2 linked regions of the Struthio camelus genome follow. The protein of the gene in region 1 purifies or fractionates together with the protein of each later gene. This does not show direct contact. Links are inferred from orthologs where the notes say so. Each region holds a gene or a part of one and is shown on either strand. Other genes may lie near its edges.

What was found.
Region 2: the proteins of UBR2 (region 1) and UBE2B purify together in Homo sapiens (affinity purification with western blotting; 3 studies listed by BioGRID, with this or other methods). This does not show direct contact. The link is inferred for Struthio camelus from reciprocal best matches to the Homo sapiens genes UBR2 and UBE2B.

The regions. Positions count from the first base shown.
Region 1 is NC_090944.1:112,907,881-112,917,430, forward strand, and holds the start of UBR2 (E3 ubiquitin-protein ligase UBR2), read right to left. Parts: upstream 4,119-9,550; 5' UTR 3,984-4,118; coding exon 3,906-3,983; intron 1-3,905. UniProt on the Homo sapiens protein: E3 ubiquitin-protein ligase which is a component of the N-end rule pathway.
Region 2 is NC_090954.1:3,939,202-3,947,923, reverse strand, and holds the start of UBE2B (ubiquitin-conjugating enzyme E2 B), read right to left. Parts: upstream 3,780-8,722; 5' UTR 3,632-3,779; coding exon 3,588-3,631; intron 1-3,587. Other genes in the region: CDKL3 (cyclin-dependent kinase-like 3), read left to right, coding at 8,080-8,244. UniProt on the Homo sapiens protein: E2 ubiquitin-conjugating enzyme that accepts ubiquitin from the ubiquitin-activating enzyme E1 and transfers it to a E3 ubiquitin-protein ligase. In vitro catalyzes 'Lys-11'-, as well as 'Lys-48'- and 'Lys-63'-linked polyubiquitination.

The sequences.
Region 1 (9,550 bases):
GGCAAGGGACAGGAAAAGATAGAAAGCACAAAGCGACTGGCACGCACAACAGTAGGTGACAGTTCACCTCTCCTTTAATTTCAACAAATTTAACTAAGAAAATGACGTGGAGGGCGTGTTTCTCCTTCATCAAAAATAATAAACTATCAGAATTACTATTTCAAGTATGATGCTAGACCTATGAATTAGTCAATTAAAAGAGAATTTGTGCTGATAGAGAGTTTTTAAAAGCCAAACTAAGGTATCTGGTATAAACCACTGAGAAACTCAGAACTCTACATTTTTTCCCCTGTATATATATGCGTGCACAGACACATACTGGAAGAAAAAAAAAACCCTCAAAATAACATTTATTTCAGTCTTGTGGAACTACAATTTTATAAAGGTCCAAATCGTAAATTAAGGCTACTAGGTTTTTATGATAAACATATGGGAGCAAACACACATTGCAAGTGTGCAGGTTACATAAACAGCCTTAGCATGCCATTTCTAACTGTAAATACGGTGACAAGACACCTCTGATAACTTCAAATATAGAATTCAATAAACAAACTAAAAGTATATATGAAAAGCAAGAATTAATTATACAAAAATAATTAACTTTGATAACCAAATGTTACAGCTTGATTCACTCTGAATTATTCATGACTCACTCTTAAGAACTTTTATTTGAGAAGATACTGTTGTGGTGAGTTCTTGAGGATAAAGGTGCAGAGTCAGTGTAGTATTCATACCACTTAAGGGATTTTTTAAAATATACATTGCAATATTTTCATCTGCTAGACTACTTTTTCTAATGCAGACTTTCATTCAAAAAAGCTTATTTGTCAATATAGCTCTTAGATAGTAAAACAGAACGCTTTCCTCACTTCTCTTTCCCTAAGTTTGGCTTAAAATCATAATCAATCTACTAAACGTTTTTGAATTGATCTAGTTTTGATGGTTACAAAACTAGGAATTTTCCAAATAAGCCTACGGAAAAGGCTTGCCATAAAAGACCCTATCTAAGGATCCAGAAGTTTACAGTGAATCTCACTATTCCCATTAGGATTAAGAGACTACTCCACAAAAATGGAAACATTAACATTTTCATTGCTAAGAATTTGCATCCTTTTCCCTAGCTCATGAATCTTTTGGTCTCTTTCCATCAGTTGTGCCAAAGACGTACTGCTGCACGAGGAACTGACCTAACTGCAGCGGAACCAACTTAGTGTCTTCCATCATCTCTCTTCAGTAAGATCATTTTTAGATGATTTTTCTAGAGCACGTATTAGTTAAAATACTTGCATTTTGTTCTTAGCAAAATGCCTTTAATTTCAACTTTTTAAATCTGAAGTACCTTAGTAATTTCTATCTAGAAAAGATATAGCACATATTAGTTACACTACAAGCTCAGACAAATACCTAGCCAGAGAAAATTGTTGTTCCTCAGGTAAACAGCTTTCCCTTCCCAAAAATTCCAGCAGTACTTGCCTGAAAGTTAGGTGTGGCAACACTGGATGTCATCACACCTACGTCTCTTCACGAACTGAATTCTATACACGTAGCTGTGCATATAGTTCTGAGTATTAGATCCTGGCCAAAAGAATACCAGAAGGAAAGAAATGTGGACTGCTAGGACAAGGAAATAGATGCATTTCTGGTGTCCCTTAGAGTGCTTGTAAAACAAAACAAAATAACAAAACAAAACTGAAAGCTATGCTAACTTGCTAGCGGACTGATACCTGAGAGGCACTGAATCCCAGTAAAAAACTACTCAAAACTTTAGAATTTATTTTTTGGCCTAAGTATTTCATATTAGACAAATACTAACTGAAAACTTGCCTAATCTTCTACCCTGAATTGACACGTAGGAAAAATTAATATTCTACCCTGCCATGAGATTCTTTTAATAAAAAGGGAAATGTATCCTCCTTCATTTCCTCCCCTGACTTATTCTCCTGCACTTTTGAGTGCCAATAAATAAATAAATAAATAAATAGAATCAAAAAACATTGTTTAAATAACACTCATACAAGTAAACACCTAAGGGTCCATCAGAGTTTCTATTAAATTACATTTAATTAAGAGACAAAATAGCTGAACAAAATGCACGATACAAAAAAAGTCATGAAACAACTCAATTTACTACTTCCAGAGCTAAATGGCATACCTTACGTATTTATGGCTTTGGTTAGCTATATAAATTAATATCTGCAATGTAGGCTTATATTCTGTTACAGATGACAGTCATTTATTCTTCTGATTATTGTTCTTTGGAGGTTCATAGTTAACTTGTTGCAATAAGAAACTGAAATGCAAAGTACTATAACTATAGCTTTGGACTGGCATTTATTTTGTTAGTATTGTGCTATCAGCAAAGTAATACTATCAGCAAAGGAGGGAGAAAAACAGACCTAAAGACCAGCTGTGCTGTTTACTTACACGTTCAGGGAGTGCCAATAGCATTTAACTGCTAGCACACTGTGGGTCTGAAACGAACAGATCGCTGAATTGTAGCTTATGCTGGTGATTATGGGGGAAAAATGAGAAAGAACTGACTAAGTTTAAAGAAGACCTTGCACCTATGGCAGATTCTTAGACATGTGCCATTTGGTGTGCCTTTAGCTCAGGTAAGTAACTAACACATGCTCTAGAAAATCATCTAAAAATGATGAACCTACGTAAACCTATACTGCTACCTACACTGAACTAAACTAGCTAGGATATAGCTAACTGGGCACATTTGCCTACCTAATCACACCTTTGTCTCTGCACTGTAGATATACGACAGTAATCTGAGGCTAACCTGAATTACAACGTTGTCTTTCATTTTATTTTGGAAAGGAGACAATGTAACTCTCATTAAAATACACGAAAAAGCTCTCTGACGTCTTATCCTACAGAAACGCACACAAAGCACGCCAATATGTTCACAAACGTATAGATATAGTTCCTCAAATGCACCTAAATGTACCTATAAGATCAGGCATCTACCTCAGAAGCAAAAATAAAATGGTTCCTTGAAAACTTTACCCTTAAGATTCCCCTTCTTTGACCTTCCTGCTACTCTCTACAAATGCTGGAAAAGTCTATATAAGAAAGTAGGTGACTTCAAGTATTACCCTGATTCTACTAGCTATTTCCTCCACAAGCTTCCCATCCTAATAGTCCCAAACTTAACTGGGATAAGCTTTCACCAGAACTGCATCTTATATACTGGAGAGGAGGAAAAAAAAAAAAAAAAAAGGAGGGGGTGGGGAGCGGGAACCCTGTAATAAAAACCTCAATCTTGCAAAGCGTATATGGGACGAGGCTTCCACTTAAATTAACAGGCTAAGGAACAGGGAGGCTCTTCTCGTTTCAAGACAGCGAGAGGTGAAGCAAAACAGCAGCACAAAACTCCCGAGCTGCGTGGAGAAGGCCAGGAAGCAAGGGCAGCCCGAGGGACGAGCTCCCACAGGCCAGGCCGCGGCCCCGCCGCCCCCGCTGCTGCCTGGCCGGTGCCCTGGCGCCGCCGGGCGCTGCGGCCGCGGGGCTGGCCCGGCCCGAGCCGCCCGAGCAAGCCCGCACAACAGGAAAAGCCGGCTGCGTTCAGGCTGCCGCAAGAGCGACACGGGTGACAACAGCACGTTGGAGCCGGAGAGCGACGCGGCTTCAAGCCCGCAGCGCCCTTCGCAGCGCCCAGCCCGCGACCCCCGCGGGGAAAGCCCCTCTGCCCCCTCCGCTCCCCCCCCTCCCCAGCACGGCCCCTCTAGCCCTCACAGCCCGGCTGTACTGCCCCCCCCCCCCGCCCCGCCGCCGTTACCGCCGGCCTAGCAGCCCCCGCTCCCTCCCTCCCCGCCGCCGCCAGGCACCGAGCGCGCTTCGGCCCCGGGCCCGCCGCCGCCCCCGCGGCCCGGCGACAGGGCGCGACGGCGCCTCACCCCGGCGATCTCCTCGGCGGAGCACTCCAGCAGGCTCTTGTCAATAGCCTGCACCTCCGCCTCCAAGTCCGCCGCCATCTTCTCCCCTCCCCCGCCCCGCGCCGAGGAAGGGACACCCGGAACCGGGCCCGGCCGGCGGCTCTGCGAGGGGAACCCACTTCCGCCCCGCCCGGCCCCCTCCGCGTCACCGCCCTCCGCGTCACCGCGCCGCGCCGGCCCCCGGAGCACGCTGGGAGTTGTAGTCTTTCCGCGGCGCCCGCACGCCGCCTCCCCGTCTCCTCGGAGGCGGCGCCCTCCCCGGCCACGGCAGGCGCGGCCCGGCCCGGCCCGGTTCACTCCCTCCTTTGCTTCCTCCCTTCTAACTCAAAGCGATGCCCGGGGGGAGAGGGTGGCCGGGCCGGGCTGGAGGAGCCCTGCAGTCCCCGCAGGCCGCACAGCTCGCCCGGCCCCCGCGGGCGCGGGGGTCGTCCCGCGACACCTGGACTTCGGTCCCGGTACACACGCACGCCAATATTGTTTGCCTTCTGGTTAAGTTTTTCAGATGCACTTTGGTCACCCTTGCCTGTCAGCCAGGAAGGTGAAAAACTGCTTTATTCAAGGAAAGAAAAAACAATCCTGCAAATTACATGGATTTGGAGCTACGGCTTAAAGAGCAATTTCACAAAGTGCAAAAATCGCTGAAGCTCTAAATCCCGTTTCGCAGCGGCCCTCGTTCCCCGAGCCCCAGAGGAGGCGCGCGGCCCCGGGGGCGGACGGGCCGGCCGCCCCCCTGGCCTAGCAGGGCGCCTTCGCGGCCTGCCGCCCTGCCGCCCTTCTCTGCGCCGGCCTGAACCCGGCACCGTCTGGGCACCTACGCAGAGATGGCGACCCGGTTTGCCAGAAATTACACCAGCAGACAATACCAAGGAAGCCCCTGCTCCAGCCAGCTTACGCTCCCAGATTTGCTCCAGGGTGCAAGAGGTGGATGCACAGACAGGAGAGTGGCAAGACAAACTGTGCTACAATTGCGTGAAGTATTAGTCAGCGATGGTCGTAAATGTTACCATTGCCAGGTGATAGTGATTTACAACAAAAGCATGCGTTAAAAGTGGGTTCTAAACAGCAGTTTGTGCCTGTTAACGATTTTCAAAAGCTTCTCGTGGTGGTTGTGCACAGTTGGGTTTTCTGCTTGTTTTGCTTCTTTTTTTTTTTTGGTCTCTTCTTCTTCCTTCTCCTCAACTAACAACATAAATATTGAGTTACTCAGGGGATAGCCATTACCTTATTTTTGTCTAAAAGTAACAGATACATTTCGGGCCATACACTAATGAAAGAAAGAAATTGGGCAGCGCGCCGTTGGCTGGCGGCCCTTGAACGGCTTTAACGTTCCTCGCATCAGGGGGCAGCAGCGCACGCTTCCCTACTAGGCGTACTCTACCAGCTCTTGTTTAGAAACCATTGCATTTACATACTTTAATTTGTTTGTGAATTCTGGTTAATTTTTGGAGATGAAAGGAACACACATCTCTGGAGAGGCTGTTTGCAAGAACTGAAAAAGATGTTTTTTTTTCACCAGAGCTATGAGAGAATCGTAAAAGCATGGCCTTTAGAATATTAATTTCACCTCTTAATATTCTAAGGAGAATCTTAATTTCCTTTTGTCGGATTGTATCATTACTATATAAAGGGTACATCTTTCTACTTCATTTATTTTTGTTTTCCACATTTTGCATAATTGTTCTTAGAACAGAGAAAATAATTCAGTATTCCTCAGAAGATCAGTAAAATCTTCACTGCCTCTTATTCATGTGCTGTTAATGCACAAGGAATACAGAAGATTGCACTTGTCTGGAAGAAGGCAGAGGGTAAAAGAAAGCTGTATGATTTAATGATCTCTCCTCGGCTGCATGTAGAAAATGTTAGAAAAACCCAGTGGTCCAGTAATACGAAAGGCATCTTATTTTACCTAGAAAGGAGGGTGACCCAAAAATAAACTAAACTTGCAAAGCCGTTATTTCAGCCTAACAACTTCTTAGGTATACTTTTTTATAACCTTGGATAGAAATTTTCATAACTTTTAGTCTGTGCCATTAACTTCATAATGATTAGATATTATTCAAATTCAGGAACAATATTTAAGGTTGAGGAGCCAAACTGTCTTTATCTTCTGCCAAAAAAACTAATTCTTCCCAGGTCTATTATCAGATAAAAACTGAAGAAAATAAATCCATAGGATTTAATGTTAATGGGGTTATTATTAAACCTTCATAGCATTTCCCTGCTCTCAGTGATGTATTTCTGGGTTTCATCTTGCTCTCAACACACAAGATAGCCCACAGAAAGCTACAGAATCAGGGCTGTAAAGCTGTAGATATCTGTTATATCTCTTCGACCTTCTGATGCGCCTGTGTAAGCACCAGCTTGTCTCTGCCATTAAAATAACTAAATGGCACTATGAACAGGAGGGGTCGAGTAAGTTAGTTAGCCTCCGGTATGTTTAATACAAGCTGCATTCATTAAAAACAATGTAAATATACATAATTTATTATATTATATTATTATATAATATTAATTTTCACAGTAGAGACTGGTGGTCCCTATCTAAAAACTGTTTTAAAAGCTACTAACAAAACAGGATCTTCCACCCTACAAAACTGCCTCTCCACTTTAGTGTAACAGAAGCCACCAGCAGCAGCCAAGCTGAGGTCTAGCTATTTTGAAACAGAAAGGGCCTCCAGTAGAGCATGCTCTGAAGAGCTGGTCTGGTTACAGAACTGATTGTCTTTTTGGCAGAATATTCCTTGAATCTGACCATTTTCAGGGCATGTTGCAAAGTCCTCCACAGCATTTGAGAATAGGAATGGAAGCCGTCATAAGGTAAAGGGATGGTGGAGGGAGTTTTTAAGTGGCTGGTTTGGTGGTATGTTGACTGTGCCTTAAATGCAGTTGTTTTAAGTGCATTGATTTGAAAATAAACAGACAAATGTCTATATAGACTGTAGGGACAGATGTCTTCTTTACAGACCCAGATAAATAAAATGTTATTCAATTTTTCCCACATTGATGGATTCTTATGTCATTAGACAGACACCTTAAGTCTTGAGAGATGGATTCAGAATTGCATTTTATTCAGTAAGAAAGGTTCATCTCCTGCTACCAAAAAATAAAAGTAGTAGTTAAAAAATGTACTTCTTTGTCTACTCTCTAAAGCAGTGCTGTAGCTGTAACTTAATTTCAAAGTTTAACTATTAAAGCAAATGATCAGCATTTTGTTGCTTTATTGCAAACCTATATCTAAGATCATAACCTTGAAAAGACATCTGTATCTCTCTCTTCAAACTTCTGTAAGTCAGCAGCCCTTTACGAGTAAAGCATGTGTCTAAGAGTAGGATTCAGGTTTCTATTTTCAATAACAGTAATTTTGACAGAACAGTTTGCCTAGCAGATACTGAATGACCAAAGTAGTGATTTTTACATTGCAAATAAAATTGTTAAAAGCCATAGTCATTTACGTGGTTTCCCTCCCTTCCTCTCTGGTGCTAGTTAAGGTAGGTTTGCAGTCACCATCTCCTACATTGTCTTCAGATAATTTCAGAAGGTAATTCTTTTATTTCTGTACTGCCAATTCCAATGACAAATTACGCTGACCAAAATAGATTTTTGCCTGTGATACTGTTAATTAAAAGATGAATTGTGAATGAGGTGAACAATGACACCCCGTACTTGCTGGATTGATAAGAGGGAGTTCACTAATCAGGACATTATTCAGATAAAAAGGCCAGCTGGTAATCTGCAAACACAGGTTATTTTAAGAATTTGGTTCAAAATTAGAGTATTAAAAATACGATGTGACAATCTGTGTAGGTGATGCTTTTTTTTTTTTTGGAGGTAACAATGCTATAGTATCAGTCTTTTTGGCAGTAAATCAGAACATATTTTTTTCTCTACTTTGTCTTTGCAAGGCTATGATCTTAGATTTAGGTATGTACTATTTTAAACTATGATGTCAAGAAGTGACAAAAAATAAAATGGTCGATATTAAAAGCAGAGTGTATCACATATAATAGTGAACAGGAGATACAGTGGAAAGCATAAAGATGCTGCAGCCATCATGCCATCTCGGTGAATGTTCTGTGAACGTCTAGCAAAGGCAGTTATATAACTGATTTTTATTGTGTTAGGCAACAGCAGGATTGGTAAGCAAACTGATGTGCAGAATTAGAAAGCTTCTTCCATAGTGAAAATGAAGAGAAAAAAGACAGTGGAAAGGTTCTCACTTAACATCCAGTAAGAGGGTAGGGTAAGAGGGTATGCATCTTCATTAATGCATCGTGGCAGGCTGGCAACATGATTTATTCATATCATGCAATGTCTTAAAAAAAAGACAGTGCGAACTCAGGCTGTGGTAATTTTGCTGCTTTCTGCAATTTAATATGTCAACAATATAGAACTCAAGCTGGTAAGTTAAAATGCCAGCCTCTGAAAGAGATTTAGTGGAAGCTAAGCTAATAATCAGCAATGAGTTATACAGGGGAGAAAAATTAACACAGAGGTGAAGGGAGAAAATATACGCAGAAAATTGTGCCTGATCTCATTCGTTTTCACTATAAATTCAGAAGAATGCTAATGGATATTTAGACATACTAGTAAAACAAGCAGCAGTTCCATGAGCTGGTACTAAGAAAACCTAAGCTTGTGTCTCACAGGTGATCAACTTTGACACCTAAAAAGGCGCAAGCTCCACTTAAAATTTTTGATGCAGCTAATGCCTTTTTCCCCTGCTTATTCTCTGATACCTATGAACATACAGGTTTACGTTGCAACCTTCCCCTAAGCAAGGCTTTTCTTTTATGCAGCTATTTTTCAAAGACTGTTTTTCTACCAAGGTCACAAGTGTGGTAAACAAAGTAAAGTTATGTGTTGCCTTACAACCTGCCTTTAAAACCCTTGTGCTAAAAAAAGAACAGTCTTCATGTTTAGTGTCAACTAATACTAGTGCAGGTACCTGCAGCCTCAAAGTTAAGAGGCCTAAGCTGCAATGAGTGTAGGATATGGCACAATAGATAGGTTAAGCAGACAGGCAGATAGGATTAAAGATAGCTTGTAAGAGCTGAAGAGCTGCTCCAATGGAGGAGGACGTTCCCACTCATGGACTCTTTGGGGGCCACCTCGCAGGAGTTTCAGTCCTGAGCAGAAGGGAAATCTTGTTTTTCCATCTTCGTAGCACTAGGTGGCAATACCTTGCATAGCCGTTTCGGTGCAGAAGTCCTCTGCTGCCGCTTCCAGTCCAAGCCCTCACCAGCTCCCACTCGCTCCAGTCTGCAAGCGGAAGGGTGTGGGTGGTGGCACTGGAGGAGCCATCCGACTTAGATCTTTCTCTCAAATCAGGCTTTAACTGCTTAGTGACTGACACTAAGTAAATTAAAGGCACTTTTGGAATGAGTCAGGCAGTAGGAGGATGAGAAGCGTGTTGTGAAATTGCCGGGGATGGCGGATGGGGCCTTGGGTGGTGAGAGAGGGGAGCAGGGTTGGCGGAGAGGTCGCTGCCTGTCCCATATGGCGCCTCTGCTCCCAAGGCCCTGACCCACAGCACTGCAGAGGAGCCGGGGATGGATGCGGGAGCAGCAGGGGACACTGAGGGGCCATGAAAAACTCGACACTGTGAT
Region 2 (8,722 bases), on another chromosome or scaffold:
ACATACACTGAGACTGACTGTACTGCACAGTACATTATGAAAGAGTAGAAAGCAATTCCTGCTGGTTGCTGCAAGGAAGTAAACAGATCACAACCACAAACTGAAGCATTAGCTATTAGTATCCGAAAGTGGGCCAGTGATACTTAAATGATACACTTATTGAAACTTAGTGCAAAGGACTCTCAATGAAGCTTTCCTTGCATTCCCAATTTTGCATGTGAGATGTGGCTAAACGTGGTGTAAATCCATTCTGGCTGGCAAGCCGATTGCTTTGAAAGGGAAGGAGGAGCAAGGGAAAAACCTCTGTACTGCTCCTTGTTACCAGTTCAACAAAATGTAAATATTTATTTCTAAAGTAATCATGGAAGTGTTTTAAATTCTTTCTGGTCCCTTAATCCTGGGACTAGGGAAAAATACATTACTGACTGAAAGTCACAAACTTGGGCCAGACATCATAACTCAAGGATAGGATCCAAATATTGTCATTCTGCCCATCCTTTTGTCTATCAATGTTTCTATTTAAGGATTCCATAAAGCCCTGGAACGGCATAAAACAGTAAGCTCCAATCACCTGGTAAGAATTCTGCCGTATCAAACCCCTTCAACAATAGCTCCTATCAATCTCACCTATTCAGCCTCATAATTATGAGAATAAGAACAATGAAGCAACTGCCCTTGCTTCAAAAGCAATTCTTAACAGTATTAACAGGAGGTCTAAATACATAACAGCATACTATTATGTGCAAGTCTTCACTGAGCCTGCAGACCAAGGGGCAAATTCTAACAAGATTTGCACGTGCAAGTGCAGATTTATTCAGAGCTGACACTGCTCTACAGTCATTCATTATGCCCTGTAACTTTTCACGTACTTGCATTTCCTAAGTCTATTAGACACAGTGAGCTAAAACTGCACGTGTACGTGGGCAGTAAGCGATGATGTTACCCTGCAAAGACAGGGTAGAAGCAGGGTTCTGACCGTTTGCAGTTCAGATCCCCTCCGAACTCTGGGTTTACATCCTTGTTCTCCGAGCACACACAGTTCAGACAGCTTAATATCAACAGCATAAATTGCCTGCTATTTTGGTCAGTGAGAGCAGGAATGTGACTTCTCCCTATGTGATATCCAGACTGCGTGCCAGTAATAATGCCTAAGCATTAAGTCTAATAATGCATCTGAAAGATGGCTTTGGTTCTTAGATCACTTAAAAAGCTCACGTGCACCCCACTGCCAAAGAGCGCAAAAAAATTTGTGGCAAGAACTGGAAACTAGACCGGTCTGAGCAGAGACCAGAAATCTGTAAGAAATAAGGATAACGTAGTATTTACAGCTCCTTTTCCAAAAGCAAAAACAAACCTAGTCAGCTTATTTTTGTTGCTTTAGTCAAAAAGAGGGGGGAAAAAAAAATCTGTTGAACTGTTCTTTCTTCAGCACTGTTGACAACTGCAGTACGCAAAAGGAGTTTATATTTAAACAAACTGAATCAGAGTTCACAGCACACATTGTCTGCTTCTTTCAGTATGAGGTAAGATTAACAGATTAACATAAGGCTAAACAAAAATATAACTTAAGGGTAGGAGGGAGAAAATTTAAAAGACTGATAGGAAAATGTTACATAAGTGTTGAGGCATGGAGTTCTTATACATGTATAAATAAATGTGAACTTGTATAACCAAATAAATGCAATGAAACACGGAACTTCTCCATGGATTTAAAGTCTTTTATCCATCTCCAATTTCAAAGTGATCAAATCACTCCCCCTAAGATAATCCATTTCTACTACTGATTACAAAATCACAGAAAACATATCTGATTGCAATCCTAAAAAAAAAAAAAAAAATCACTTCATCCTTCACCCTAAAGGAAGGGCTACTTTTGTCATTTGCGTAACCTAATACAAGGGGGGGGGAAAAAGTCTGAATACCCCATTTTAGTTGAAACAGAATTCAAGTGACCTTCTGCTCACAGCATGCAAACACCCAAATAAAACATAACAGCTAGGATCCACTTATCAAAAATGTCCGACTTGGCAGAGTCAAAAAACAAAAACAAAAACCTCCACTTTTATGTGACTGCATGTAAGGCTACAGTGTTAAAACAACTACATACAATATGCATGTGTCAACTGTTTACTGATGTATTTTCAGGTACTGGTATAACATAGCTATGCTAAAAAAAGAGACAGTATCAAAGCTGACTCACCTCCCACAACTTATGAGTTACTTGAGTCCAGAGAAATCATAACACATACTGTGAAGCTTACAAAAAATAATTTTTTCCATACTCTCAATTATAAACATATTTACATGCTAGACTGGAAATAAACTATTCCAGATTCTGTGGTTCAGCCATTAACATTTAGAAGAGCTAAAGAAGCAGTTATTAGTAGTCATATATGTGTACATATTACAGATTCCTCATTATTGAGGAACACAAAATAACACTTTTTTTTAAATCACATATAGACGGTGTTTACTAGTTTTCTATACTTCATTTTCAGATGTCCATCCTGAACTGGGAGATTGTCAGAGAGACTGACAACCCAATCAGCCTCAACTGCATCTGAATTCTGACTGTTCTCTCCAGAAAACTGGGCCAAATATCTTAAGTATTCAAACACTTGTGTGAGGAAGAGAAAGGGGGCAGGGGAGGAAGAGCCTCAGAAGCGTTTAGCCTCAGTAAGCTCTTCACCACTAGGCCCTTCTAGGAAAAAAAAAAAAAAGTATCTAGAAGACAGTGCACATCTGACCTCCAACCACTGCTTGGTTTTCAGTCATGCCCCTCACCTATATCCTTAAATAACCAGTGTATTTGAGCCTTTCCTAACTATTTACAGATCATATGCTTTCTATTCAGTAAGACTCTGAATTAGGCTTCCACGTCACTGTAGTCCAAGGGGTTTTAGCCGTGCGACGTGCGAGCCTCTGCCTTTATCCTGGGAGCTTGGTCCTAAAGAGCAGCTTTCAGGGGAAGGCTCGTCTCCCGGCCGCGGCCAGGCGGGCCGCGAACGGCTCTCCAGGCTCAAGGCGCGCTGCCCAGGCGCGGCGGAGCGCGGAGGAGCGCGGCCCTTGCGCTCAAGGCATCGCCTTCAACTTTTATCCTCAAACGCCCCCAGACGTCTGTAAACAGTACGAGGCAGGCGGCCTGGGAGGAAGCAGCGCTCAACAAAAACAAAAGCGGTTCTGCCCGAGGAGCAACGCGCTCCGCGGACCCGGGGAGGTGTGGGGGGGGGGGTAAAGCTCCTCACCGGCGGGTGCGCCTCACCGCCGGGCTGCCCGGAGGCCGCCCCCCCTCCCACCCCCCACCGCGGAACCGGCCCCCCTCGTCCGCCAGGCGCCGGCCGGGCGCAACGGCCAGCTCGGCGGCCCCGACGGAACGGACCGGCCAACCGAGGCGCTGGGCTCCAGCACGGGGCCGCTCCGGAGGCGGGCTGACCCCGGCCGGCCGGCCGGCGGGCCGCGGCTCGGGCCCCGCTCCGGCGGCTCCCGGCGCCGGTCCGGCCGCCCCCCCCCCCTTCCCTCGGCGGCAACCGAGCCCGGCGCTCCTGACCGCCCGGGGGGCCGCGCCGAGCCGAGCGGCGGCCGCTCACCTCTTGAAGTCGCGCATCAGCCTGCGCCGGGCCGGAGTGGACATGATGGCCGCGCAGAAGGGAGCCGGCCGTGCCCCGGAGCCGCGGCGCCGCCTCCCTCGGCCGCCTGCACAAACAACCCCGCAATGGCGTCTCCCTCCGCGGGGGGCGGGCCGCGCCGCGGGGCCGCCGACGTCGCCCGGCGCGGGGGGGGGGGGCCGGGGGGGAGAGAGCGAGCACCGCCTTCGGCGCGTACCACTGCGCCCGCCGCGGGGGGAGGAAGGGGGCTGCCCGCGGAGCCAGGGCGGCCCCAGCGCAGAGCTCCGCGCTGATGGGAGCGATGGCCGCGTTTAAACAAACGCCTTTTGGAAGGGCCGGCTGCGAAAATCGGCACGGCTGGACGACTGTGGTGTGCAGCGCTAAAAATTCATCACTGGAAGTCTTGCACGGGGGCGAGGCAGTTCTTTTCTCCAGAAAGCTTTTTCTAAGCAAACAAATGGATAGTTTAGGGCTTGGACAAAATAACAATTTTGGCAGGAGGGAGACATCAGGCTCCGCTTTGTGATTTGATTCCTATAATGCAAATAGGCACAAGAAATTTCAATTTGAAATGGCACAAAATGTTAGGATGACTAGGAAACGAAGAACCTACCTTTGGCAGCCTGAAGTGTTTGCTTAGGAAAATAAGGCTAACAACAGGCACAAATGCCTTCTATAAATACATCAGAGAGGCTGAGGGAGAGAAGAGCTAATTTAAACTAAATAACAATACTGGCATAAGAACAAATGGGCATGAAGTTAGTCAGAAATCATTTCGGGAAGATACTTGTATTCATACTACTTACCTTCTGAAACCGGGTAGTGGAGAACTAGGGTAGTTAAGTTGCCTGCAATCTTCCCCTCTCCCTTTTTTCTTGTTTAAACCACATGACTCCAACAGACTCAAGTAGATCTCTTTGAAGTTATGACCCTGTTCTTTTCTGAAGTCTTGGAAGCTAGCCCCAGCACTTGGATTTGTGTGATTACATGTGCCTCCTTGTTTTTTTTCCAGAGTTATTTAGGGAGATCATAAACATCATGAGACTCATAATGAAGTGACAGAAATAAATACTGTCTTCATCCTTTTACCCATTTGTTTTGCCTTCGGCTATGCACGTGCTTGAGAGCATTGACCTTAGCTTTAATATAGCACAAAAGCTAGTTAACTGCTTTTCACTCGAGCACATGCTAAACCAGCGCTTCAGCAGCCTCACTGACAAGGGTTACAGGCTGACCAGAGCACTGCTCTGAATCGGTACCTCACTGTTAAGGCAGAGATTTTATCCTGCCAAGACTTAAGCTTTGAACATGTTTTAATCCATTGTCCCACCTCAGTGAAGACATTAAGATGCTTAAAGTGAGATATACGTATAACAATTCACAAAACAAAGGCCTGATATTACAAGGGAGCAAGCGAGTTTTAAAGAGGGCTAGTAATAAGAAACTCCTATTGGGCTGGCTAGTCCGTCATTTCCCACTCATTAAAACAGTATTATTTCCTGCACCAGTGAGAGATGCTTCATGACAAGCAGTCTCTTCTCCTAAGTTTTCCTCCCTTGCCCATCACATATATGCTTTAATTTTGCTGCTAGTCCTCTAGCTTCAAGCAGTTTATATTTAGCATCAGTTAATTCATAAGGGAGATGGGAGACTAAAAAACAAGTACAAGCTTGGACCTGTATAAATCATTAACATAGATTTAACAACATTCATTATTTCCACTATTAACATGCCCTTCACCACAATTGCCCAGACACAGCAGCAAAAGCATCCTCTACCCAAAGGGCAGTTCTTTATTCTTTGAAGCCCAAGTCACCCTCAACACACAGGCACCCCTCAACTCGCATTCAGGCTTCCCCTTCAGGGCAACATTCGTTAACTGCACAGAGAACCCTCTATCAGACAAAAAATGTTAATCCTGAAATCCTAAATAGTTTTCACCTGGCTCAGGAAATTTTTCACCAACATCTCCTCACCAGCAATAGTATTTCTTCTCCTCTGACACCCTTGCAGAATGGCACAAGAAACGAAAGGTCACAACAGCTTCCTTGAAGCGCTCCTCTTTCACTCCTTTATTGAGTGTAGGAATTAGCCAAGACCTTACCACTCAGCCCTTGCCAAGCCCATACTCCTTCTCTTAAGATACATGCATCAGGCCAACCCCAGGCCCTTGCACAGCAGCACAGGGAAGTTCAGCCACCGTTTGGGTTGGGTCAGCAGCTTGCAGCCTGAAGCACGTCTGAGCGCACTGAATTCACGCAGCAGAGGGCACTGATAAGCTTTCCAGTTCTGCACTGTCAAAACAGATGGGTGGGTCACAAATCATACAAAACAGGATTGTCTCACATGCATAGACAGGATCTAATTAAGTTTTTCCTTTTTGAATCTGGTCTCATGATTAAACACCTGTGATGATTAGTTTTATTAGCAAATGCAAAGCTTCCATATTTTTCCCTTGTGAAGATCCAGCTGCAATTTGTTTTGTTGATCATATAGCATATGTAGGTTTTAAAATCAAATTAAGTATAACCCAAGTTCATTTTAAAAACGAACAGTTTGGAAAATAACAGTGAAACAAGGTATCTGCCTTTGCATTTGTTAAGACAGTCCATCCTCCTAGAAACTTAATTTTTTTTTTTTATGGTCACTCTCTCTGATGCTGCAGTGCCCCTCTGGGAAGATTTACCATTAACACTGTCCAAACCCCAGGATCTAAAATTAGGGAAATGAATAAACCAAGTCATCCGTTAGAATTTGCTTTTGTTCTTACTCATTACACTAGTAGCTGAGGAGCTACCTTCAGAGGTGCCAAACACACTGGTCAGGAGACACCATTCTTGTTCCCAAAGCATTCACTAATAAAGATGTAACCCATTAGGGCCTGTGGCATAGTAGTAACTGACTTGCGCACCCACAGCCCCAAGACAAGAATGAGTAAGTAGTGTCAAAGTAAGAAAAAAAATCAAGTGGGTTATTTAATCCACAAAGCAGTAGAGGTAGAAACAAACTCCAGCCTCTGAACCCCTATAACTTACTGACGGAGGGGTGCAACTCCATCATACCCTGATTGCCGACCCTGCCTTTCAGGATTTTTGAACCTCGGCTTGCCTGTTACTCCAATCCTACTTCATTATTCAAAATTCCGGGAAAAATACCAGATTCAGGATAAATCCTTGTGTGGCCCTACTCAGGGCATCCTCTTCTTTTGACAGTAAACTACTGGTAACTATTCTTCAAACACATTTTAGTTAGGTGTGCACCCTTCTTAAATAAATAGTTGTTCTAATACTATTTGAATACAAAGTTACTTCAGAGCATACCACCTAGAAAAGCAAGAAGCATGACTGAAAAAAAAAAAAAATACAGACACCAAGGGATCCCACACCTGCCTCCATCTATCCGCTAAACCACCTACGCGATGAAGGAGGCTGCGTGTAATACTTGCTCTGGGTGACTCCGCTCCAGGCTGCCTCCCCTGCTCGGCCTCCAGGGGCTCAGCGCGCCCGCCCGCCCGCTCCAACGCTCTTCCGGAGACCTAGAGGAGTTAACTCAACTTTTACTCAGACTTGGTAAAAAACCGAAGTGGAGAGAGAGGTTTTTTTGCCGCTTGGGGGAGCGGCAGTTACCCCTTTTACCCGCTACGGCGTTGTTAAATACACTCAATCCCCTGCTGCCAACCCCCGGCAACGCCAAGACCACCGCGTCCAACTGATTAATACGCGACCAGCTTGTGGAGAGCGGAAAACGACCGTCCCGCGCCCGTTAAATCCGGCTGTGAGGAGAGACGCCGCCAACCGCCCCTCAGCGCCGCCCCGCCCCCGCCCCGCGGAGCGCGCCGACGTCAGCGCGGCGGCGCGGCGCGGGCGGCCGTTGCCATGGCGAGGCGGCTGCCTTGGTTCAGCGGCGGTTTAGCGGCGCCCGCGGGGAGCCGTTACGGCCGTTAGGGCCGTTGGGCGCTGGTGCCGCCGCGCGGGCGGGCGGGCGGTCGGGTCGGGTCGGGCCGCCGCTTCCCCGCACGTCGGTCGGCGCCCGCGGGCGTTTTCAAGCCCCGGCCGGTTGCCGTGCCTCCGAAGGCCGTGGCGGCGGTATAATAACACAGTCCTTCCTCTGTTGCGCTGCTCGTACCTGCTTGCTCTAGAGGATGAGGGGTTTGTTTATTTAGCTTTTATTCCTCCTCTTTAGCCCACCTTTAGTTAAAGCTGGGGTCTGTAGACGTCTCTAGGAGCGTGCGCGAGTGCGAAGTTGAGCTCTTGACTGTCACCATGTGTATATGGCTTAAAAAAAAAAAAAAGCTGAAGGCTTGGGAGGCTTCACCTCAAGGGCTTGCAGAGATGTTCGGGAAAGGGAAGTGACCGCTGTCTTCAGGGGTTACCCCTCTTGAAATGTTGCCTTTGCATGCGTGTTTAAGGAGTCGTGCGTACCTTGAACTGATTCAAACTTTTGTCTTTCTATGAAGAAATAAGAACCAGCGAAGATGGAGATGTACGAGGTCCTTGACAAAGTGGGAGAGGGCAGTTACGGAACAGTAGTGAAGTGCCGACACAAGGACACGGGACAGACAGTGGCCATTAAAATATTATATGAGAAATCAGGAAAGCATATTAACAAAACTGCGATGAGAGAAGTAAAGTTTCTACAGGTTTGTTCCGTTAAATATGTAAAACAAATGGGAAATGGCTTGAAAACGAGAGCTGCATCATTAACAGAGTACGTGGTTGCTTTTAGGCTGCTTCGTGCACAAAATAGCGTGAAAGATTTAAGGTTTTTTTGCTTCTGAAATACTTTCCTGCCAAATTAAAATGAATAGCTAAAGAAAACTTCAAATTTGAAGACAAAGTTCTGAAATGTTGTTGAAAACTGGAAAACTTGTCTGCACTCTTCTGTGCCTGGTAATCCGTCCCTGGCATCTCATCTGAAGGCACCTGAACTTAAACAAAACATGTTGACCTTTCCTACTCTTCTATATTTGTAAATCTACATGCTCAATACAAAATTTGTAACTTGTTTAATAGCTGGTTGCTCGTTGCACTTGATGGTCACTGACTTCCCATGTGACCTCCAGTAAGAAGTGCGTGTTCTCTGTGAGATGGAGCCTCAGCTCCATCAGGCCACTTGAG